Xenopus tropicalis: one gene and its partners. The protein of the gene in region 3 interacts with the protein of the main gene of each other region in a biochemical or structural test. Links are inferred from orthologs where the notes say so. Each region holds a gene or a part of one and is shown on either strand. Other genes may lie near its edges.

Region 1 (7,776 bases), on a different chromosome or scaffold from region 3:
TAAATTAAGACAGTGGTATTCTAAGACAATTTGCAATTGATCTTTATTTTGTGTTTTAAATATTTAGTATTTTGTTCAGTAGATAGGTCAGAATTTCAGCAGCTCTGAACACCACGGTGCAATTTACCCTAGCAACCAGCCAATGGTTTTAATGACAGACTGGAAGATGAATATGAGAGAGCCTGAAATATAAGAGAAAAAAAAACTATAATATTAGTTATAATAGCTTCATAATAGCAGGCATCGGCAATAGATCCATATCTTTTGGTCAAGGAGTGTCCAGGCTGCCCATGGTACAGAGGGTTTGAAGTGTTTGATTCAGTGTGTCTCTAAATTTTTCAAAAAGCAAACCTATCAGTAAATCTTTGGGTGACATTACCTTTACTTTGATAGGTAGTTATAGCTTTTGGGACACTGGTGTCAGTTTCTCAGTTAAACTTACCCTAGTCACTCTAGTATTATCTTATTATGTTCTGGTTGTGCTTTACAGAGTAGTTGCTTTGTCTATGTCTCCTGTGGATGATACGTTCATTTCTGGGTCATTGGATAAAACCATCCGGTTATGGGATCTTCGATCGCCTAACTGTCAGGTGAGTAATTGTCTGATCACTATTTTAGTATTTAGTTATTTGCGTAATAACCTAAATGTTGTAAGTTAACTTTGGCTTGCTTTGTCTCCTTGTTTCCATGCAGGGGCTAATGCATCTTCAAGGAAAACCTGTATGTTCATTTGATCCCGAGGGTCTCATTTTTGCAGCTGGAGTAAATTCAGAGATGGTCAAGTTGTATGATCTTCGCTCTTTTGATAAAGTGAGTTTTGTAACCCAAAATTGAGTTTTAAGTTCTTCCCGTGTCCACATGGCTGCTCCTAGTTTCTCTCACTATCCCAAAAAAATTAGGGATGCACAGAATCCACTATTGCACTATTGTAGGATCATTTGCAAAAGATTTGTCCAATACTAATCCGAATTAAATCCTAATTTACATATGCAAATTGGGACCAGAAAGGATAAAATAGATAAAAATCAAAGTCATGTGATTTTAAGCATTTGGTTTGTCCAGAGGCATGGTTTCAGCCAAATCCCAATCCTGATGAAAAATACAGAATCCTGGACCAAATCCTGGATTTGGTGCATCCCTAAAAAAATAAATACAGGCAGGTTAATTGGTTCCTAAAAAACATTGACTTTACTGTGTGTAAATGCAATTGGGTTGTACACTCCATTTGGGCAGGGACTTAGGTGAATATTCCATAATCTCTGTAAAGCAATGTGGAAATGGCAGGTTCTATATAAATAATACATTATAAATGTCTGCAACGTTACGTTATGCTTATAGATGTATTATAAATGCCTCATTGAGCAAGGAATGCTTGTACCAGAGGTGAATGTCTCTGTTTAACATGTGGCTTAAGACTAAAATTTAGGTCATATCTGCAGTTTATCAGGGTTGCTCAGTGGCACTGATTTTTTTAATCCTTTGCTAGTATGTTATAGTGTAAAGCTGCACCTAACAGCTTCTTACGTAAGCTTGTGATCATCCATCTTGAGCCATCCGAATCTCCCCTTCCTTCCAAACTCTCCCATTTATTTAGGGAAGCAAATTCAATGTATCTTGATTAAGTGCTGCGTAATTTGCTAGTGCTATAAATAAATAAATAGATGATGATGATGGTGTCAGACTGAATTGAAAGGAGAACTAAACGCTAAAAATGAATTTTATATACTGGACTTAATCCACCAGCCTAAAGGTTCAGCATTTCTGTAAAAGTAATGATCCAGGCCTTCAAAGTTGTCACATTTTCTGACTGTCACTTTGGGCTTAAATTAAACAAAATGCACAGTGTCCCTTTTCATAATAGTGATTGACCAACCTGGTACAATATTGCTTATCACAGGGTCCATTTGCAACCTTCAAGATGCAGTATGATCGAACCTGTGAGTGGACTGCTCTGAAATTTAGCAATGATGGGAAACTTATCTTAATGTCAACCAATGGAGGCTTCCTTCGTCTGGTTGATGCTTTTAAGGGGGCTGTTATGCACACGTTTGGGGTGAGTAATTTTTTTTTTCATTAAAATGGCCTGAACAGGTAGAGCCCTTATGACTTCTTGTCATTAAACTTACTGCTGTGGAATATATTTGCACTTTATGATGAATACGTTACTAAATAACAAACTTATAATGAATTTTTTATTAGGGCTACAACAATAGTAAGGCTGTCACCCTGGAAGCTACCTTCACTCCAGATTCCCAGTTTATTATGATCGGTAAGTTAGAAGAAAACATTTATTAATATCCCAACTATTGTGCAATATCCACTCCTCTCACTGGTTCATCTCAATCTCTGTAGGCTCAGAAGATGGCAAAATTCATGTTTGGAATTGTGAGAGTGGTATGAAAGTAGCAGTGCTGGATGGCAAACACACAGGTCCTATCACATGCCTACAGTTCAACCCCAAGTTCATGACGTTTACTAGTGCTTGCTCAAACATGGTAAGCACAATCATATTCTTTGGTTGTTATAACTGGCACTTTATACAGCTATTGTTGCATTATCAAGTTATTAATGTCTTCTTGTAGGCTATGAAGTCCCAAAGTATACAGTTTGTGGCTAGCTTTAGAATCTATGAAAATCCTGTGGATAATTGATTCTAACAATCTTACATTGCAGGCTTTTTGGCTACCAACTATTGATGACTGATGCATACAGAGAAGCTGGCATTTGTAAAAATCCCATTCTTCAGCTATTTTCCACAAATAAATCTTCACAATGCCCGGATATATGAAGAACAAGAAAATGGTTATTTTTTTTATTCTTCCATAAAAATACCCCAGTATTGAGCCAACATTTCTCTTTGCCAAAATAAGAACTGTTCTTCGGTACATATCAAGATTTATGAACTTCTGTTTTTTACCTTCATGTACTGGGCACTTATTTTGTGGAATGGTGTATATATTTTTGTCATGTTTCTCCTGACGAACCTGTATTTGAGACACATGCTACCAATCTCTCTTTTTATATCCTTTATATACGCTTCCATCTGTATTTGTTCTTTGGAGCAGGATTTAAATGTTCACTATGGTAAGAATCCACACCAACCTTGTTACACCAGATATTACACCAGAGGTAGATTTCATGGTGGATGACGCACTAAATAACCGGCTAAACCAGATTCTATTTAGATACCCTCTCTGTCCAGAGTTAAAGGCTGGCAAGAAGCTACATCTGTTATTGTTTTGGTTAATTTTAAGAGAAATTTTATTAATGCAGTGCTCCTTCCTTATAGGCTCTCTCTCCACACCTGTAGTTACTGCCACAAGTATTACACAGATGTGCATCAAATCTACACAGACATATTCCTATAACACAATCCCATGTTACCAGAAACAGCAATTTTGACTCCTTCATGCAGTTGATTTAAACTGGAATTGCTTTATATCATTTATTATTGATTTCTGTGTTTCCTTTGATTGTTGAGAGATGCTGGATGTGTTTAATAGCCAACGGGCCGCAGGTTAAGCATTGTCCATCTGTTTTCTATTTCAAGTCAGTACTGGTAGCTTTGTGGGGAATTTGCTTATTAGTGCTGCCCCAATTTGTTTAGATCAGGATTATGATTCTTTCATTAATTGGTTAATCTATTTGGTAATATAATTCATAAGTAGCAGAACAGTATATATTGCTCTCATATTCTGTAAGCAGCATTATTAAACGGGCATTATTAAACTGGCACTAGTATTAAGAACTGCCTGGGTTGGCATCCACACTACCAGCACTGCATTGGCCTGGCTGGCATAGGACAAGTAGCTTCTTTCTTGCCCACAGACAATCGTAGCTAGCTGAAAGTGAAATACGTAGGTTAAAGGGCAATCCATATATACCACTGAATTCAGCTTTTAAGAAAACATTATGTGGTTAATAACCTTGTTAATAGAGGACCCAGGAAAAGTCTGGGATCTGTTTTGTGACCACAAATTGGTTGGAAATCAAATATACACTTCATTTTAATTACTTTCTGTTGTTCATTATCTTAAAATGAGTCACATAAACATACCAAAAGCAGCATTGGGTTCTTAACCATAGATTAACAGTTCCTGTTGGGGGAATGGTGATATTGTTTGCCTCGGTAAAATCACTCTACATAGACTAAAAAATAGCACAATCTAGGAGTCCTAGTTAATGTTGGTTTGCTATCAGTATAATAGCGTTATGTTTTATTTATATAATAAAAAGAAGCCCCAAACTGTCATCTTAAATTAAAATTAATGCAATACCCTATTTGGAAACTAGGTGTGTTTGGCCCTTTAAGATCTTGTGTCAAGTAAGCAGTAGGTGAAAAGATTTTACACTTCAAGGAAATGTGTATTTTACAGCTCCAGAATATGATAGTTTATTTTTAACCACACAGAACCTTTTTAAAAAAAAAAAATAAACAAAAATATTGTATGGTTTCCTCATGTCAAGGAAGCCTCATAAGCAGTATTCAGTATTTCAAAATAAAGATATTCCACAGCATAAAGGATTTATCTCACTGTCTCATATACATTTGAGGATTGTGCATGTAAATAAGAAATGGATTAAACCATTACTGGGGAGCTAAGCAGTGTGCAGCTGTTTCTTGTAAATTATGTTTTTTTACATAAATAAAATATTAAAACAACTATGTACTGTTTTATTTGAGTAATGTGTTTAATATCTTTAATGCCCAATACACAGATGGTAAAAGTGCACTTGACACCAGCATGTCAGAGCACGTTACAATTTGGTATTGTGTCTTAAATAATCAGATTACTCTTTCCCCTTTTAGCAAACCTGTCTCTCTACATGCAGCATTGTCGGTTATTTTGAAAGATAGCTCTTATACATTATCTAGGCAATGGGGGTTATGACCAACGATGTGTTTGACTTAGCTGTCCTTCAAAATCTGTCCTTCAAAATCTCGTGCATGTAGAAAGGCATTGCTAGGAAGGGGATAGTGAAGAGTTATTCAATTATTTCATAAAACTGTGTAAAAGTTTTGATTATATTCAGAATGTTTTATTTCTATGAGATAAAGTTTATATTACAGTTTCACTATAGTTCCCCTGTTATACATTGTGATGGCCTATTAATAACCAACATATTAACTTGATATATAGAGAATGTCCTGCCCTTAAAATAATTCACACCAGCAACATCTGGGTCATAATAGGCCCCTAGTACACAGCATTTTGTTGTCCACTGCAAACAGGCCAAATGGGACAAACTGTCCACCACTTAAGTGCCAGGTGGCATTGGTGAACTTAATGCCCAATGTGCTAGAGGCCTTAGTGCAACACTGGTATATACTATACTGATTCCCTTACTATACCAATAGAGGATGTCCTGTCATTGCAACACTTACTACAGGTTTACACATGGGAGTTTGGGTTTCGGAGCTTTAGTTTTTCTTTTCGTCTGTAGCGGAGAAGCATGAGCACTCGCAGTGGCTTTTATGGACTTGCGTAGCTTCAAAAATTGTTATTTCAAAAGCATATACAGGTATAGGATCCCTTATCCAGAAACCCGTTATCCAGAAAGCTCCGAATTACGGAAAGCCCGTCTCCCATAGACTCCATTTTAATCAAATAATTCAGAATTTTAAAACTGATTTCCTTTTTCTCTGTATTAATAAAATAATACCTTGTAAGTGATCCCAACTAAGATATAAATAATCCTAAACAATCCTATTGGGTTTAATTAATGTTTTATTAATTTTTTAATAGACTTAAGGTATGGACATCCAAATTACGGAAAGACCCCTTATCCGGAATACCCTTGATCCCGAGCATTCTGGATAACGGGTCCTATACCTGTACTACAGAATGAATGTGGTGGAACCTGTGGCTGGGCCTTAGGGCAAATTTGTCAGTTCCAGTAGCAGGCAAACATTTATACAGCAGCAACATAACCTACAGGTTTGTACATAAGATGGCTGTGTGCACTAAACATACATCTTACATACCAAAAAGAACCTATAATTGATTCAAACAGAGGAGCCAACCAGGATGACTTGTTGTCCAGATGGCCACGCCTGCTACAGCTAAAGCACTACAGGCCAGACCCCCTAATTGTATACATTTATCATGTATAAAAAATATTTTAAAATAAAATATATTTGTTATTCCCCATAAGGAGCCCAGATCCTGTACCCTACAGCTATCTCCCCTACCCCTAGGTGTAAACCAACCAGCCTTGCAAATTGGTACCTCAGATATTAAAAGGGCGTTTTTTCCCGCCCCTATAAATACTATCCAATCACAGCAGTACCAGCGGGGTCACATGATCAGTATCCATCCCAGTGTACGGCGCGGCTGGGCATCCTAGCAATACATATCGCAGCGGTTATCTTCTGTGGTTCTGGGGCAGCTCCTATAGCGGCTGCAATCTCGTTAGCGCTCAGTTCCCTTTTGTTATTGCGCAACGCGAACTTAAGTTGAGCTCAGAGCCCCGCCCCTGACAGACGGCGGAAATTCAGTTCTGCTATGCCCCCAAAGGAAGCACTCGCTTTTATTAAATAGCAGAGGCCACGCCCCTTAAGCCAGAGGCACGCCCCCCTACGTAGGCCCGGGAGCCGCTCCCTAACCTGAAGCTGTCAGCAGCCGAACGATGGCCCATCAGACCGGGATCCACGGTAACTGCTCTTTCGCTTTGTCCCCACAGCCGCCCCCTCACTGGCACGTATGGTGTGGGTGTCACTGGCTGTATATGTGTGTGTGTGAGCTGGATGGGAGTATGCGCTGTATGCCTGGGTGTGCGCTGCCTCACCTAGTGCCCTGGGGCTACAGCTAGCCAGTGTGCGGCTTATGTATACATGCTTGCCTTTCTCCCTAGCCCTGTGTGTATGCGGCTGCCCTACCTGTTACTAAATGCCACACAGCATATTATATACAGCGCTATATACCGCTCAATGGGAAGGGCCGGGCTCTGAGGGAGGCAATAGATTTTGCTTTCATTTTACTTTCTTGTGGGAAGAAATTGTATCTCCCTGGGACATTAAATTAAAAAAAAAGATAAGCAACTTTCCCTTATGCACAGATTAAACATTTTCAGTGTTATTAAATGAATGTGCAAATGTAATTCTGATTCAAATCATTATTTGTTTATCCTTTGCTGTTCTCTGGTACTGACTCTTGAAACAATGTAGCAGGAGGTAGTTCTTTAGGTTCATTAATCAGATGGCTTTTTGCTGCACTGTTTCAGGTGTCAGAACCAGTAATGCATAGAATACAAGCCAAAAGGCATACAGCTTTCAGTAGCAATTGCAGTTAACTTTAAAAAACATTTATTGTTAATTATTGTATATTGGAAAGTTGCTGAGACACTCTGCCAGTGGCTGCGGATTCCAGCAGCTCTCTAGGGTAGGATTGGGTTTTTTTTACCTTTAAAGGGTGGTTCACGTTTAAATTAACTTTTAGTTTGATGTAGGCATTCATTTTCTAAGACTGTTTGCAACTGGTTTTCATTTTGTATTTTTTTTAAGGTTTTTGAATTGTTTCACTTTTTGCTCATCAGCTCTCCAGTTTGGAATATCAGCAGCTTTTGTGTTGCTAGGTCCAGTTTACCCTAGCAGCCAGGCAGTGGGTTGGTGAACAAACCCTTTAAAGAACAGCAACACTTTAAAATGCAGTAAGGGCTGTGGCAGACGGGGAGATTAGTCTACCGATGGGCCTCCCTGACCAAAATCTTGCCTGAAATTTGGTTTTTACGTTGGGTCTGGGACATAATCGACTCGTTGATGCGGTCCCTAAACCA
Region 2 (8,816 bases), on a different chromosome or scaffold from region 3:
CTTATATCTCCTCTCTCATACCCCCACAGATACCCCAATACCCCCCCATACTTTATATCTCCTCTCTCATACCCCAATACCCCCACAGATACCCCAATACCCCCATACTTATATCTCCTCTCTCATACCCGCAATACCCCCATACCTTTATATCTCCTCTCTCATACCCCAATACCCCCACAGATACCCCAATACCCCCATACCTTTATATCTCCTCTCTCATACCCCAATACCCCCACAGATACCCCAATACCCCCCCATACCTTTATATCTCCTCTCTCATACCCCAATACCCCCACAGATACCCCCCAATACCCCCATACCTTTATATCTCTTCTCATATCCCCATACCCCACATACCCAACCTTTTATCCTCTCCATACCCCACAGATCCAATACCCCCATACCTTTATACTCCTCTCTCAACCCAATACCCCCACAGATACCCCCACAGATACCCCCCATACCTTTATATCTCCTCTCTCATACCCCAATACCCCCACAGATACCCCCAATACCCCCCATACCTTATATCTCCTCTCTCATACCCCAATACCCCCAAGCATACCCCCAATACCCTTTATATCTCCTCTTCATACCCCAATACCCCCACAGATACCCCAGGGATACCCCAATACCCGCCCCATACCTTTATATCTCCTCTCTCATACCCCAATACCCCCACAGATACCCAATACCCCCATACCTTTATATCTCCTCTCTCATACCCCAATACCCCACAGATACCCCAATACCCCCATAACCTTTATATCTCCTCTCTCATACCCCCAATACCCCCACAGATACCCCCACAGATACCCCCATACCTTTATATCTCCTCTCTCATCCCCAATACCCCCACAGATACCCCCACAGATACCCCAATACCCCCATACCTTGTATATCTCTTCTCTATACCCCCACAGATACCCCAATACCCCCCATACCTTTATATCTCCTCTCTCATACCCCAATACCCCCACAGATACCCCAATACCCCCCCCATACCTTATATCTCCTCTCTCATACCCCCACAGATACCCCAATACCCCCATACCTTTATATAGCCTCTCTCATACCCCCACAGATACCCCAATACCCCCCATACCTTTCCTATATATCCTCTCATGCCCCAGCTACCCCAATAGCCCCCATACCTTTCCTATATATCCTCTCTCATGCCCCCAGCTACCCCAATACCCCCCATACCTTTATATCTCCTCTCTCATACCCCAATACCCCCACAGATACCCCAATACCCCCCATACCTTTATATCTCCTCTCTCATACCCCAATACCCCCACAGATACCCCAATACCCCCCATACCTTTATATCTCCTCTCTCATACCCCAATACCCCCACAGATACCCAATACCCCCATACCTTTATATCTCCTCTCTCATACCCCCACAGATACCCCCATACCTTTATATCTCCTCTCTCATACCCCACAGATACCCCAATACCCCCATACCTTTATATCTCCTCTCTCATACCCCCACAGATACCCCAATACCCCCCCATACCTTTATATCTCCTCTCTCATACCCCAATACCCCCACAGATACCCCAATACCCCCATACCTTTATATCTCCTCTCTCATACCCCCACAGATACCCCCATACCTTTATATCTCCTCTCTCATACCCCCACAGATACCCCAATACCCCCCATACCTTTATATCTCCTCTCTCATACCCCCACAGATACCCCCCCATTCCATATATCTCCTCTCTCATACCCCCACAGATACCCCCCCATTCCATATATCTCCTCTCTCATACCCCCACAGATACCCCCCCATTCCATATAGCTCCTCTCTCATACCCCCACAGATACCCCCCCATTCCATATAGCTCCTCTCTCATACCCCCACAGATACCCCCCCATTCCATATAGCTCCTCTCTCATACCCCCACAGATACCCCAATACCCCCCCATACCTTTATATCTCCTCTCTCATACCCCCCACAGATACCCCAATACCCCCCCATACCTTTATATCTCCTCTCTCATACCCCCACAGATACCCCAATACCCCCCCATACCTTTATATCTCTCTCTCATACCCCCACAGATACCCCAGTACCCCCCTTACCTTTATATAGCCTCTCTCATGCCCCCAGCTACCCCAATAGCCCCCATACCTTTCCTATATATCCTCTCTCATGCCCCCAGCTACCCCAATAGCCCCCATACCTTCCTTTATATCCTTTCTCAAACACCCCAGTTACCCCCATACCTTTATATATCCTCTCTCATATCCTCAGCTACCCCAATAGCCCCCATACCTTTATATCTCTCTCATACACCCACAGCTACCCCAATAGCCCCCATACCTTTCCTTTACATCCCCTCTCATACCCCCCAGCTACCCCAATAGCCCCCATACCTTTATATCTCCTCTCTCATACCCCTACAGATACCCCAATAGCCGCCATACCTTTATATAGCCTCTCTCATACCCCCACAGATACCCCAATAGCCCCCATACCTTTATATAGCCTCTCTCATACTCCCACAGATACCCCAATAGCCCCCATAACCTTTATATCTCCTCTCTCATACACCCACAGCTACCCCAATAGCCCCAATACCTTTCCTTTATATCCTCTCTCATACCCTCAGCTACCCCAATACCCCCCATACCTTTCCTTTATATCATCTCTCATACCCTCAGCTACCCCAATAGCCCCAATACCTTTCCTTTATATCCTCTCTCATACCCCCAGTTACCCCCATACCCCCCCATACCTTTATATATGCTCTCTCATACACCCACAGCTACCCCAATACCCCCCATACCTTTCCTTTACATCCTCTCTCATACCCTCAGCTACCCCAATAGCCCCCATACCTTTCCTTTATATTCTCTCTCATACCCCCAGCTACCCCAATAGCCCCCATACCATGATATATCCTCCCTCATACCCCCACGGATAGCCCCCATACCAATATAGATACTCTTTTATACCCCCACAGCCAGACCAATAGCCCCCATACCTTTATATATCCTCTTTTTTTAACCCCACAGCCACACCAATAGCCCCCCATACCATTATATCCCAAACAGCCACGCCCCCTCAGAAAGGTCTCCCTATTGGCCACAATGTTTCCCCAAAAAATCTACAGCCCCACTACTGCCTGTACTGTTACACAATGCTCACACGTGCACAATAGGAGAACCCCATACCACATATAAATACATTATTCTGGAAAGGCTTCTGGTACAAATAGTAGTAAATAAGTAATAAATATTGCTAATTATGTCCTTTTCTTTGTTTACAAACACCTAGCCTGCATAGTGGGAGTGGCCATCTGCTAACTCAAGGGGCCCCATTCCAGTTCTTGCACCATGGCAACAGAAGAAAAGAAACCCGAAACTGAAGCTTCCAAGACGCAATCCACCCCATCCTCGTCCAATAATCAGAGCAAGGTTGGTATTCTTCTACATGTGGAGCGGCCAAGATGCTTCCAGTAAGGCTTTGGGTGTTACTTTTGTGTGAAATCCAGCAGTTATGGATCATTAATCCTGCTTATAAAGGGTAATGTTAAAGGGGAAATATATCCGCCTCTGGCTTTTTAAATATACCCTTAATATAAAGGGCCTCTTATAGGTGGGTAGTGTAGTAGGGTTATAGGATCCAAAGGGTTACATATTCTTTTCCTACTTAAATATACATCTTAGAAAATTAACTTTTAGTAAGAGGTCCCAAGAATTGGCCATTCTGTAACATACTAAAAGTTAAAGGGGATGTCAACCCAAGATAAAATATTGACTAAAGAAAATGTATTTTCAAGCAACTTCCCAATATCCATTCATTCCCCATTCTCACTGGGTTTATAGTTATGTGTAACTGTCACTGTGTCTGTCCCTTTCCCTTCCCTGCACTGCTGGTTCTGACTCCTGATACAACTCCCCAATACCCATTCATTCCTCATTCTCACTGGGTTTATAGTTATGTGTAACTGTCACTGTGTCTGTCCCTTTCCCTTCCCTGCACTGCTGGTTCTGACTCCTGATACAACTCCCCAATATCCATTCATTCCTCATTCTCACTGGGTTTATAGTTATGTGTAACTGTCACTGTGTCTGTCCCTTTCCCTTCCCTGCACTGCTGGTTCTGACTCCTGATACAACTCCCCAATATCCATTCATCCCTCATTCTCACTGGGTTTATAGTTATGTGTAACTGTCACTGTGTCTGTCCCTTTCCCTTCTCTGCACTGCTGGTTCTGACTCCTGATACAACTCCCCAATATCCATTCATCCCTCATTCTCACTGGGTTTAATAGTTATGTGTAACTGTCACTGTGTCTGTCCCTTTCCCTTCTCTGCACTGCTGGTTCTGACTCCTGATACAACTCCCCAATATCCATTCATTCCTCATTCTCACTGGGTTTATAGTTATGTGTAACTGTCACTGTGTCTGTCCCTTTCCCTTCCCTGCACTGCTGGTTCTGACTCCTGATACAACTCCCCAATACCCATTCATCCCTCATTCTCACTGGGTTTATAGTTATGTGTAACTGTCACTGTGTCTGTCCCTTTCCCTTCCCTGCACTGCTGGTTCTGACTCCTGATACAACTCCCCAATATCCATTCATTCCTCATTCTCACTGGGGTTTATAGTTATGTGTAACTGTCACTGTGTCTGTCCCTTTCCCTTCCCTGCACTGCTGGTTCTGACTCCTGATACAACTCCCCAATATCCATTCATCCCTCATTCTCACTGGGTTTATAGTTATGTGTAACTGTCACTGTGTCTGTCCCTTTCCCTTCTCTGCACTGCTGGTTCTGACTCCTGATACAACTCCCCAATATCCATTCATTCCTCATTCATATACTGAAATATGGCAGTAGATCCTCACCCAGGGTTGGGAGTTTTATGAATTTAAGTTGAATTGTTTCTGGTTTCTCATGAATACGTTCGACTCAACCAACTTTTGGGTACTTTCCAATACGCGGCTCTGATGTTTGTAGAGAGATGAAATATAGGGGGTGGGTGCTGAATGTGACAAATTTCAGGTTTGTGCAGCGGTTACATACAACATGGCTGCCTGCCCTGGGGGCTCCCTGTCACTGTAGGGGGCTGTTTTTTATTTTAAAACTATTGTTTCCCCCAACTCTCTGCCTCAATGTCTGCAAAATACATTTCTGAAATCCCCATTTTTCTCTTCTATTCATAGCCTGCACCAGTAAAGCCAAATTACACGCTAAAGTTCACCCTCGCCGGACACACCAAGGCCGTATCATCTGTAAAATTCAGCCCGAACGGGGAGTGGCTCGCCAGTTCATGTAAGTGACATTCCACCTATCGTTATGTCTTTGCCCTAAAGAAACTACAGTGTCACTTTTTTGTTCTTTTCAGCGGCCGACAAGTTAATCAAAATATGGGGGGCGTACGACGGCAAGTTTGAAAAAACCATATCCGGCCACAAGTTGGTAAGAACCTTTTGTTGTTATTGCTCGCGTCTAGCCGGTGTTGAATTCCTGTAGCACCATATATTTAAATTCCACCAGCGTCTGCTTCGTGTAACATTAAACCCATACTGTTTTGCACCTTATCCCCCCAGCGCCGTGCAGCAGAAGCCAATTAGAGTTTGCATTTGCCAGACACCTCCCCAGGGGCCTCCCTAATTTATAGACGGGCTTGGGGATTTCATGTGTTTTAATTTGGCACTGGTTAAGAAATATAAACCCCCTTAATCAAATCCGATTAGTGAAACTTTTATTTATTTATTCTTTTTATTTTTATATTCAGGGAATATCTGATGTCGCCTGGTCCTCTGACTCCAACCTCCTGGTTTCTGCTTCTGACGATAAAACTCTAAAAATCTGGGACGTGAGCTCGGTGAGGCCTGATTGACTTACCGTTGGGAAGAATATGTTTTTGTGTTTCTTCATTGAGGGGTAAAATGATAACACAGGATACATTCCCTATTTCTCTTACATCATGGGGGACACAGGAACAGCCTAATTGCCTCGTTAATCCAGTGGGCAAACGTGGCCTTGGTAGTAGGCAGAGCCTCTCTAGAGGCTAGGCCTAACCTCCTGTCCACTTAAAAAGCTGAGCCCTGTTGGCTAAGCAAAAGGGTTAAAGAAAAGAGGGAGGAGCAACAGTTATGACATCACTGCAGTGTCCTGCCTCCTGGTAGGAGGAGCCCTTTACCCCACTCTTCCTGTGTCCCCCTAACGACTATAGAGAAAAGGATTTAACGGTGTGTATATAAATCTTCCTTATTGAAGGTGAGTCCATATTACCCACTGCTTCCATCGGAGCTATCAGTGGTGAAACTAGCTATACAGCAGACCCAGCGGTCACGGGGGGCCTGGGTGACAGGGGGGCCGTACTGTGGGGTCTGCTGTATTGCAGTCCCCCCCCCCTCATCCTTTTTTTTTTTTTTTTTAAATAGTTGGGGTCAGGACAGGAGGGACTGTTCTCACCAGGCCCCCTTAGAAGATTTGTTTGCAGGGGTCGGCCACCTTGCCCCTGCACCTTCCCCCCCCCCCCCCCATGTGCAGTTCCGTCAAACACGGGGGATCATTGCCCCCACCACATAATCGTAATGACAAGCAGCCAGGGCAGTGACAAGGGAATGCGGACTAAAGGCTCCTGCCTGGCGCCCCCCAATCGTTAAGTGCCTCTTCTGCCTACCCCTAGTTCCAGCCCTGGCAGGAGAGCCCCGGCACTATGCCCATATATGCCACGGTGGGGCGTTAGGGGCGTATTTCTCAAAACACGAGTTCAAATCCCGAATGGGAAAAATTTGGATTGGAAACGAAAATTTCTGAAGATCGCAAATATAACGAAAATGTGCTTACGAAAAAATCGTATTAGTCACGATAATATCATATTGGCGATCCGAAAGTCACAATTTTTGTACCGAACGATAGTAAACAGCAGCAAAACTGATTTTGTTCATGCTAAAAATACGAAAAAAGTCGTGCAAGGTGCAAAAAATACGATTGGATCGAACGAACGCACCAAGTGTTCGTAGATAAGTAAATGTGCCCCTTAGTATGTCTTATTCTTAGCAACTTTTCAATTGGACGTCATTTTTTTTTTTTTTTTAATTAACTTTTTATTAAACCATATGCTTTCCTCTTCTGCCTCTATCTCACTAATTTGGGTTCATTAACCCCGGAAACTTGTTCTACTATCATTTTTAAAAAACCTATATTTTTTGCCTTTTTTTTTTCTACAGGGAAAATGTTTGAAGACCTTGAAGGGGCACAGTAACTATGTATTCTGCTGTAACTTTAACCCGCAGTCCAACCTCATCGTGTCAGGATCCGTAAGTTGATGAGACTTGAGTTGTTTTTTTTCCCCTCTTGGTTTATATATAGGGCCACTGAACGTTCGTAATACTTCTCCTTACTGCCATGTTGTTTATAAGAGAGAACTGTGACTGCCGCTCACCAATCCCTGAATCTATAATGGCCGAGAAATCTTTTACCTGCCGCCGTTATCATGATGCTTTTGAAATCAGCACAGACTGCTCACGCGTTCAAAGTCCATATGTTATAAATGGGACATAATGACTGCTGGTGATACTGTGGGGGTTCTGAGTTCTGATATCTACTGATCAGTTTAACTTCCAATTAGGGCTTTTAAAGGACAACTAAAACCTCCTACGGAACTAGTAGAGAAACCACAGGCTTTTTGCATAGGGCTTACTGGCCATACCCTTTCCTGGATATCATTGGCATGTTCAGCAGCTCTGGGTATGCCCTATCCCGGGGGTTACGGGAAACAAACACGTTTATAGGATTAATTTATACCATATCCGGAAATCACTTTCTAATGGTTTCTAATTTGACCTTTCTTTTTTTTTTCAGTTTGATGAAAGTGTAAGAATATGGGATGTGAAAACTGGGAAATGCCTGAAGACGTTGCCTGCTCATTCTGACCCCGTCTCTGCTGTAAGCATATTGTACAGGGCATAGATGCACGTAGGCCCATGGCAGCCATTTTTTTTTCTGGCACTGGAAATTCCATGTCCTGGTTTCAATTTTTTAATGCCTTGTGCTGTGCGGTAGCAGGTAAAAAGAACAGCAGATTAGGGAAATGTCCCCAGCATGTGAGGCTTCAGGTGTGGCTTAATAAACTATAGTAGGGTTTCTGTAGCAAACACCCCAGCTGTACCAGTGCAGGAACGGCTGCCCCCGGGGCTACACAGCGGGGTATTTATATAAACTATAGTAGGGTTTCTGTAGCAAACACCCCAGCTGTACCAGTGCAGGGCATTATTATAGTTTAATTACTGGTCTCTTTATGAATCCAGCCTTGTGGAAGACTGAAAAAGAAAGTACGGAGGGTATAAATAAGGATTTGGGCTATGAGCTCTACCCCTTTCAGTTTTACTTTGTTATCCATCTTGGGTAAAGAATGTCAGAGAGCATATTTGCCAGAAAAATAAGAGTACAAAAGGTAGTTCATGAAGGAACTGCTGCTTAGCAGTGTGCATTATGGGTAAATAAACACCGCCAGCTGAGTGCTGCTTATTTCACAGATCTCTTATAACAAGTCCCTGCCCGTGGCTGCTTTAATATAAATTTATAGCGATGCACTCTGTCCCTGTTCCTGTTCAGAATGTCCTAGCATTTATATAAAGGGACACAAACAGCAGAAGTTGTTTTTGGATCCCTGTCACAAGCAATATTTGCCTTAAAGTGATACTGACCCTAAAAAACTACTATTCAAAATGTTAATGGCCGATAAAAGTTCCCTATAGGTCGTGTTGATCGTTGTTTGCTGTTGTTTCGTAAGTAATTCTTAGTTGAATTCCCTATAAACCTGACTGTCCCGT
Region 3 (8,754 bases):
CTAAGATATAATTACCCCTTATTGGGGGCAGAACAGCCCTATTGGGTTTATTTAATGGTTAATGATTCCCTTTTCTCTGTAATAATAAAACAGTACCTGTACTTGATCCCAACTAAGATATAATTACCCCTTATTGGGGCAGAACAGCCCATTGGGTTTATTTCATGGTTAAATGATTCCCTTTTCTCTGTAATAATAAAACAGTACCTGTACTTGATCCCAACTAAGATATAATTACCCCTTATTGGGGCAGAACAGCCCTATTGGGTTTATTTCATGGTTAAATGATTCCCTTTTCTCTGTAATAATAAAACAGTACCTGTACTTGATCCCAACTAAGATATAATTACCCCTTATTGGGGGCAGAACAGTCCTATTGGGTTTATTTCATGGTTAAATGATTCCCTTTTCTCTGTAATAATAAAACAGTACCTGTACTTGATCCCAACTAAGATATAATTACCCCTTATTGGGGGCAGAACAGCCCTATTGGGTTTATTTAATGGTTAATGATTCCCTTTTCTCTGTAATAATAAAACAGTACCTGTACTTGATCCCAACTAAGATATAATTACCCCTTATTGGGGGCAGAACAGCCCTATTGGGTTTATTTCATGGTTAAATGATTCCCTTTTCTCTGTAATAATAAAACAGTACCTGTACTTGATCCCAACTAAGATATAATTAATTCTTATTGGAGGCAAAACTATCCTATGGGGTTTATTCAATATTTAAATGATTTTTAAGCTATGGAGATCCAAATTACGGAAAGATCCCTTATCCGGAAAACCCCAGGTCCCGATAACAGGTCCTATACCTGTACTAAAAGTTAATTTGAAGGTGAACTACCCCTTTAAGAAAGGGCTGATGGGAATTGCCCCAGGTTGGAAGCAACTGGGACAATCTCTCTCTGCTCTGGCAGCAAAATCCAACCACGGGGTCTGGGATTCCCCCAACTTCCCTCTGTACTTCTGACCACTCATCAGCTGTTGGTCTTGGCTATGCTCTGAAAAATGCTGACTCCCTTGAAGAATTCCAGTATTTATCTATAGCATTGTCACTATTCTACCCAAGTCCTGGCTGTGACCCAGTCTCCCCTCTGCGGCTGCCCAATGTCACTATTCTATCCAAATTCTGAATTGTGACCCAGTCTCCCGTCTGTGGCTGCCCAATGTCACTATTCTATCCAAATTCTGACTGTGACCCAGTCTCCCCTCTGTGGCTGCCCAATGTCACTATTCTACCCAAGTCCTGGCTGTGACCCAGTCTCCCCTCTGCGGCTGCCCAATGTCACTATTCTATCCAAATTCTGAATTGTGACCCAGTCTCCCGTCTGTGGCTGCCCAATGTCACTATTCTATCCAAATTCTGACTGTGACCCAGTCTCCCCTCTGTGGCTGCCCAATGTCACTATTCTATCCAAATTCTGACTGTGACCCAGTCTCCCCTCTGTGGCTGCCCAATGTCACTATTCTACCCAAGTCCTGACTGTGACCCAGTCTCCCCTCTGTGGCTGCCCAATGTCACTATTCTACCCAAGTCCTGACTGTGACCCAATCGCCCCTCTGTGGCTGCCCAATGTCACTATTCTACCCAAGTCCTGACTGTGACCCAATCTCCCCCCTGCGGCTGCCCAATGTCACTATTCTATCCAAATTCTGAATTGTGACCCAGTCTCCCCTCTGTGGCTGCCCAATGTCACTATTCTACCCAAGTCCTGACTGTGACCCAGCCCCCCCTCTGTGGCTGCCCAATGTCACTATTCTACCCCAGTCCTGACTGTGACCCAATCGCCCCTCTGTGGCTGCCCAATGTCACTATTCTATCCAAATTCTGAATTGTGACCCAGTCTCCCCTCTGTGGCTGCCCAATGTCACTATTCTACCCAAGTCCTGACTGTGACCCAGCCCCCCCTCTGTGGCTGCCCAATGTCACTATTCTATCCAAATTCTGACTGTGACCCAGTCTCCCCTCTGTGGCTGCCCAATGTCACTATTCTACCCAAGTCCTGACTGTGACCCAGTCTCCCCTCTGTGGCTGCCCAATGTCACTATTCTACCCAAGTCCTGACTGTGACCCAATCGCCCCTCTGTGGCTGCCCAATGTCACTATTCTACCCAAGTCCTGACTGTGACCCAATCTCCCCCCTGCGGCTGCCCAATGTCACTATTCTATCCAAATTCTGAATTGTGACCCAGTCTCCCCTCTGTGGCTGCCCAATGTCACTATTCTACCCAAGTCCTGACTGTGACCCAGCCCCCCCTCTGTGGCTGCCCAATGTCACTATTCTACCCCAGTCCTGACTGTGACCCAATCGCCCCTCTGTGGCTGCCCAATGTCACTATTCTACCCAAGTCCTGACTGTGACCCAATCTCCCCTCTGTGGCTGCCCAATGTCACTATTCTATCCAAGTCCTGACTGTGACCCAATCTCCCCCCTGTGGCTGCCCAATGTCACTATTCTATCCAAACCCTGACTGTGACCCAATCTCCCCTCTGTGGCTGCCCAATGTCACTATTCTATCCAAGTCCTGACTGTGACCCAGTCTCCCCTCTGTGGCTGCCCAATGTCACTATTCTATCCAAACCCTGACTGTGACCCAGTCTCCCCTCTGTGGCTGCCCAATGTCACTATTCTATCCAAACCCTGACTGTGACCCAATCTCCCCTCTGTGGCTGCCCAATGTCACTATTCTATCCAAACCCTGACTGTGACCCAGTCTCCCCTCTGTGGCTGCCCAATGTCACTATTCTATCCAAACCCTGACTGTGACCCAGTCCCCCCTCTGTGGCTGCACAATGTCACTATTCTATCCAAATTCTGAATTGTGACCCAGTCTCCCCTCTGTGGCCGCCCAATGTCACTATTCTACCCAAGTCCTGGCTGTGACCCAGTCTCCCCTCTGTTGCTGCCCAATGTCACTATTGTACCCAAGTCCTGACTGTGACCCAGTCTCCCCTCTGTGGCTGCCCAATGTCACTATTCTACCCAAGTCCTGGCTGTGACCCAGTATCCCCTCTGTTGCTGCCCAATGTCACTATTGTACCCAAGTCCTGACTGTGACCCAGTCTCCCCTCTGTGGCTGCCCAATGTCACTATTCTACCCAAGTCCTGACTGTGACCCAGTCTCCCCTCTGTGGCTGCCCAATGTCACTATTCTACCCAAGTCCTGACTGTGACTCAGTCTCCCCTCTGTGGCTGCCCAATGTCACTATTCTACCCAAGTCCTGGCTGTGACCCAGTCTCCCCTCTGTGGCTGCCCAATGTCACTATTCTACCCAAGTCCTGACTGTGACTCAGTCTCCCCTCTGTGGCTGCCCAATGTCACTATTCTACCCAAGTTCTGACTGTGACCCAGTCTCCCCTCTGTGGCTGCCCGATGTCACTATTCTACCCAAGTCCTGACTGTGACCCAGTCTCCCCTCTGTGGCTGCCCAATGTCACTATTCTACCCAAGTCCTGGCTGTGACCCAGTCTCCCCTCTGTGGCTGCCCAATGTCACTATTCTACCCAAGTCCTGACTGTGACTCAGTCTCCCCTCTGTGGCTGCCCAATGTCACTATTCTACCCAAGTCCTGACTGTGACCCAATCTCCCCTCTGTGGCTGCCCAATGTCACTATTCTATCCAAGTCCTGACTGTGACCCAGTCTCCCCTCTGTGGCTGCCCAATGTCACTATTCTATCCAAATTCTGAATTGTGACCCAATCTCCCCTCTGTGGCTGCCCAATGTCACTATTCTACCCAAGTCCTGACTGTGACCCAGTCTCCCCTCTGTGGCTGCCCAATGTCTCTATTCTATCCAAACCCTGACTGTGACCGAGCCTTTACTCTGTGGCCGCCCAATGTCCCCAGTTCGCAGACCATATGACCAGTGGGCAGGGATTTGGCCAGACTGTGAGAGGCGCTGACTTAGAGCCAATGGCGATTTGGGCAGCGCGGGTTGAACACAAAACCCCACACCACGTGTTCTCTCTAGCCTATAGCAGCTCCAGGCTGGTAACCGTCCTCCCGTAACCATAGAGTCGGACTATAGATCTGCATCCTTTTCTTTCCTGCGCTCCTTTCTATAACATAATCCCGCCTTTCCTCCCTCCTTATACTACGTCACTCAGCTTTCCTTCAGCGGTCGGCAGATTCCACATTTCTTAATCAGTAAAAGGGAAAATAAAAACCCACCCCTGCTGCTTTTATGTTATTAGTGGGTTACAAAGTGAGAAGCCGTGCTCCGTCCGGGGAAAAAATGGCTTCGCTTATTTTATGGTGTTTGTGTTGAAAGTGCCGCGTCGGAAAGTGGTGGTGAGGAAACCAGTCTGCGCTTTCAGTGGCTGCAGATTCCACTCTGCGCGGTGCGGACATAGGATTTTACTCAGCGCGTTTGTGAAGAAAACGAGACCGCTTTACGGCGGGAGAGGCAGAAAAGGCAAGAGGAATTAAATAGTCGGTGGGGAAGCCTGTGTGAGGCAAAGGGGGCAGGGCCGGGGCGAAAGCGGCAGAGCGGAAGGCAAGGCAGCGCCACCGGGAGGCAGCGAGAGAGGGATCCGGGGGAGAGACAGCTAGGGACACAGCGCGTCAGTCAGGTGAGAAGCAGGGAAATCAGCAGCGGAAATAAACACCGAGACACAGTGTGGAAGGTAACGGCGAGCGGCGGCCATGGCGGGGGAGGCCGGGAGTGAGGGGCTGAGGGCAGGGGCACAGGGGCTGCCCCGGAATGGGAACCTGGCGATGCGAGGGGCACAGGGGCACCCAGGGAACGGATACACTGCGCGGCTGCTTAGTGGGTAGGGCACACAGGGTATCCGGCCCCCCAGCATCCCGGGACCCCTGGGGGTGGGAAGGAGTAAATGGACAAAGGGCCACATGATACATTGTCAGTTCTGAGGTACTTTCATTTCGTACATCAGCTGGGGCCAACCTGCAGCCCCCCGGCTTTTACTTCCCTACTGCAGCCCCCCGGCTTCTGCTTCCCTACTGCAGCCCCCCGGCTTCTGCTTCCCTACTGCAGCCCCCCGGCTTCTGCTTCCCTACTGCAGCCCCCCGGCTTCTGCTTCCCTACTGCAGCCCCCCGGCTGTTACTTCCCTACTGCAGCCCCCCGGCTGTTACTTCCCTACTGCAGCCCCCCGGCTTTTACTTCCCTACTGCAGCCCCCCGGCTTCTGCTTCCCTACTGCAGCCCCCCGGCTTCTGCTTCCCTACTGCAGCCCCCCGGCTGTTACTTCCCTACTGCAGCCCCCCGGCTGTTACTTCCCTACTGCAGCCCCCCGGCTTTTGCTTCCCTACTGCAGCCCCCCGGCTTCTGCTTCCCTACTGCAGCCCCCCGGCTTCTGCTTCCCTACTGCAGCCCCCGGCTGTTACTTCCCTACTGCAGCCCCCCGGCTTTTACTTCCCTACTGCAGCCCCCCGGCTTCTGCTTCCCTACTGCAGCCCCCCGGCTGTTACTTCCCTACTGCAGCCCCCCGGCTTCTGCTTCCCTACTGCAGCCCCCCGGCTGTTGCTTCCCTACTGCAGCCCCCCGGCTGTTACTTCCCTACTGCAGCCCCCCGGCTTCTGCTTCCCTACTGCAGCCCCCCGGCTTCTGCTTCCCTACTGCAGCCCCCCGGCTTCTGCTTCCCTACTGCAGCCCCCCGGCTTCTGCTTCCCTACTGCAGCCCCCGGCTTCTGCTTCCCTACTGCAGCCCCCCGGCTTCTGCTTCCCTACTGCAGCCCCCCGGCTTCTGCTTCCCTACTGCAGCCCCCCGGCTTCTGCTTCCCTACTGCAGCCCCCCGGCTTCTGCTTCCCTACTGCAGCCCCCCGGCTTCTGCTTCCCTACTGCAGCCCCCCGGCTTCTGCTTCCCTACTGCAGCCCCCCGGCTGTTACTTCCCTACTGCAGCCCCCCGGCTGTTACTTCCCTACTGCAGCCCCCCGGCTGTTACTTCCCTACTGCAGCCCCCCGGCTGTTGCTTCCCTACTGCAGCCCCCCGGCTGTTGCTTCCCTACTGCAGCCCCCCGGCTGTTGCTTCCCTACTGCAGCCCCCCGGCTGTTGCTTCCCTACTGCAGCCCCCCGGCTGTTGCTTCCCTACTGCAGCCCCCCGGCTGTTGCTTCCCTACTGCAGCCCCCCGGCTGTTGCTTCCCTACTGCAGCCCCCGGCTGTTGCTTCCCTACTGCAGCCCCCCGGCTTCTGCTTCCCTACTGCAGCCCCCCGGCTTCTGCTTCCCTACTGCAGCCCCCGGCTTCTGCTTCCCTACTGCAGCCCCCCGGCTGTTACTTCCCTACTGCAGCCCCCCGGCTGTTACTTCCCTACTGCAGCCCCCCGGCTGTTGCTTCCCTACTGCAGCCCCCCGGCTGTTGCTTCCCTACTGCAGCCCCCCGGCTGTTGCTTCCCTACTGCAGCCCCCCCGGCTTCTGCTTTCCCTACTGCAGCCCCCCGGCTTCTGCTTCCCTACTGCAGCCCCCCGGCTTCTGCTTCCCTACTGCAGCCCCCCGGCTTCTGCTTCCCTACTGCAGCCCCCCGGCTTCTGCTTCCCTACTGCAGCCCCCCGGCTTCTGCTTCCCTACTGCAGCCCCCCGGCTGTTGCTTCCCTACTGCAGCCCCCCGGCTTCTGCTTCCCTACTGCAGCCCCCGGCTTCTGCTTCCCTACTGCAGCCCCCCGGCTTCTGCTTCCCTACTGCAGCCCCCCGGCTTCTGCTTCCCTACTGCAGCCCCCCGGCTTCTGCTTCCCTACTGCAGCCCCCCGGCTTCTGCTTCCCTACTGCAGCCCCCCGGCTGTTACTTCCCTACTGCAGCCCCCCGGCTGTTACTTCCCTACTGCAGCCCCCCGGCTGTTACTTCCCTACTGCAGCCCCCCGGCTGTTGCTTCACTACTATTCCCAACAGCCAACGAATTGCTGCTCATCCAAAGCTGGCTGGTGCAGGGTGGACTTTCCTTAATGATCTAATGCCCCCAAGGGGGCCCCAGGCTTGTCAGGGGCCCACTGTTCCCTGGGATACTGTGCTGAAGGAAGGGGCTGAGTGTAACTAGAAGACAGAGAAGAGTGGGGGGGGGGGGGGGGGGCATTGGGGAGACAGGCAGGGCAAGAGACTGGCCAAAAGTATGCTTAGAGATTCCCAGTGTGAAATTTAAGAGAAGCCATTTTGGCCCAGTGCTACAGGCAGCGAGAGAACCACAGAGAGTGAGACAGAGGGGCAGCTGGGAGAGACCGACACAGCCACATATCAAAGCCTTTACAGGGGCAGCAGTGGGGTGTTTAGTTATAGTGTTTGGCTATAGAGTGACACGCAGGAGACAGACATTAAGGGTTGTTTACTAGGGAATCTTTCTGACAGACAGGATGACATAGAATATATTTGCTAGGAGATTGCATGGAGTAAATACATTTCAGAGGAGGGGATAAAATTGTAAATCAAGAGACTGATGGACAAGGTTGGCAGACAGGCAATGAGAGTGCAAGAAATGGAAGAGATTTAATATTGAAGCTTGCAGACCGCACAGACCAACACTGAAGAGACAGACACCATGGGAAAGGAGCGCTTGCAGTGCAAAGACGGAGGTGTGTGACAGACAGAGGAGCACGTGGTGGAGAGAGCGTTCTAAAGGCAAACAATGGGAGTGAGCAAACAGACGGGTGCAAGAAACCAAGATGGCTGCACGTGACACCAAACAGAAACCCACAATCTGACTGGAGAGCGGGAGATTGTACTGTAAATTGTAGCAGTTTGGTTCCGAATAACCGACAGCAGCCGCTGGATTGAAACTCGCTGGATGATATAAGGACTTACTTTTATAGGAGGAGCGAGTGGCGCCATGTTATAGTAATGTCTGGGCACCAACGACAGGCCCGCGGCCTAAAAACAAAATGAGACAGTGACTGTCCGATTTCTAACAAGGAGCGTGTAGCAGTTTAAGGCAGTCAGGATCATTTTAAAGGCCAAGTCAGCCACACAACGAGAAAACATTTAATGGGAAGTAGTGGAAAAGACTAAACCAGATAAGCGCAGGGTTGAAATGCAGCACGGTATGTTCCATAAACTGTTGTACTGTCCCCTTACAGGTCAGATGTCCCCAGATGGAGCCCGAGGGCGAAAGTCACAGAGGGGCGGGCTTCCAGTGGAGGAGCTACAAGTTGCTGTTGGATCCCGCATTGCACAGTCGCAGAACAACGCAGAAAGTCTATCGCTATGATGGAATCCACTTCAACATATCCGTAAGGCCTTTACAGCCTGTGTCGGGGGGGTGGGGAGCATTATTATGAGTGGCTTCCCGCAGTTTGCGGTCTGTGATTATTGTTTTATTATTTTCTTTATAAAGGGGTAGTTCACCTTTAAATTAACGTTTAGTATAATGTAGAGAGTGCTGTTCTGAGGCAACTTGCATTTGGTCTTCATTTTTTATTATTCTCATTTTATAAATTTATTTAGCTTTTTGGTCAGCAGCTGCCCAGTCTGAAATTTCAGCGGCTATCTAGTTGCTAGGGTCCAATTTAACCTAGCAACTACACAGTGGTTTGAAAGAGACACGGGGTTATGAATAGAAGAGGGCATAAATAGAAAGAAGTCATAAAAAGGAACCATAACAATAAAATCGTAGCCTCGCAGGGCAACAGTTTTTTGGCACTGGGGTCAATGACCCCCCATTTGAAAGCTGAAAAGAGTCAGAAGATGAAGGCAAATAATTCAAAAACTATAAAAAATAAAAATTGAATAGCTTCTAAGACTAGGCCATTCTACAACATACTAAAAGTTAACCTATCCCTTTCTGATTCATCTTACTGTG

The links.
Region 1: the proteins of setd1a (region 3) and wdr82 form a complex in vitro, tested with the Homo sapiens proteins (2 studies listed by BioGRID). The link is inferred for Xenopus tropicalis from reciprocal best matches to the Homo sapiens genes SETD1A and WDR82.
Region 2: the proteins of setd1a (region 3) and wdr5 form a complex in vitro, tested with the Homo sapiens proteins (4 studies listed by BioGRID, with this or other methods). The link is inferred for Xenopus tropicalis from reciprocal best matches to the Homo sapiens genes SETD1A and WDR5.

What each region holds. Positions count from the first base shown.
Region 1 is NC_030680.2:128,234,019-128,241,794, forward strand, and holds the end of wdr82 (WD repeat-containing protein 82), read left to right. Parts: intron 1-490; coding exon 491-590; intron 591-693; coding exon 694-810; intron 811-1,897; coding exon 1,898-2,053; intron 2,054-2,199; coding exon 2,200-2,269; intron 2,270-2,352; coding exon 2,353-2,495; intron 2,496-2,673; coding exon 2,674-2,703; 3' UTR 2,704-4,663; downstream 4,664-7,776. Other genes in the region: twf2 (twinfilin-2), read left to right, coding at 6,631-6,655. UniProt on the Homo sapiens protein: Regulatory component of the SET1/COMPASS complex implicated in the tethering of this complex to transcriptional start sites of active genes.
Region 2 is NC_030684.2:8,196,863-8,205,678, reverse strand, and holds the start of wdr5 (WD repeat-containing protein 5), read left to right. Parts: upstream 1-3,314; 5' UTR 3,315-3,357; coding exon 3,358-3,438; intron 3,439-5,192; coding exon 5,193-5,301; intron 5,302-5,374; coding exon 5,375-5,448; intron 5,449-5,767; coding exon 5,768-5,857; intron 5,858-7,211; coding exon 7,212-7,301; intron 7,302-7,845; coding exon 7,846-7,929; intron 7,930-8,816.
Region 3 is NC_030685.2:5,883,688-5,892,441, reverse strand, and holds the start of setd1a (histone-lysine N-methyltransferase SETD1A), read left to right. Parts: upstream 1-4,093; 5' UTR 4,094-4,260; coding exon 4,261-4,299; exon of another isoform or gene 4,300-4,423; intron 4,424-4,429; exon of another isoform or gene 4,430-4,634; intron 4,635-8,032; coding exon 8,033-8,185; intron 8,186-8,754. UniProt on the Homo sapiens protein: Histone methyltransferase that catalyzes methyl group transfer from S-adenosyl-L-methionine to the epsilon-amino group of 'Lys-4' of histone H3 (H3K4) via a non-processive mechanism.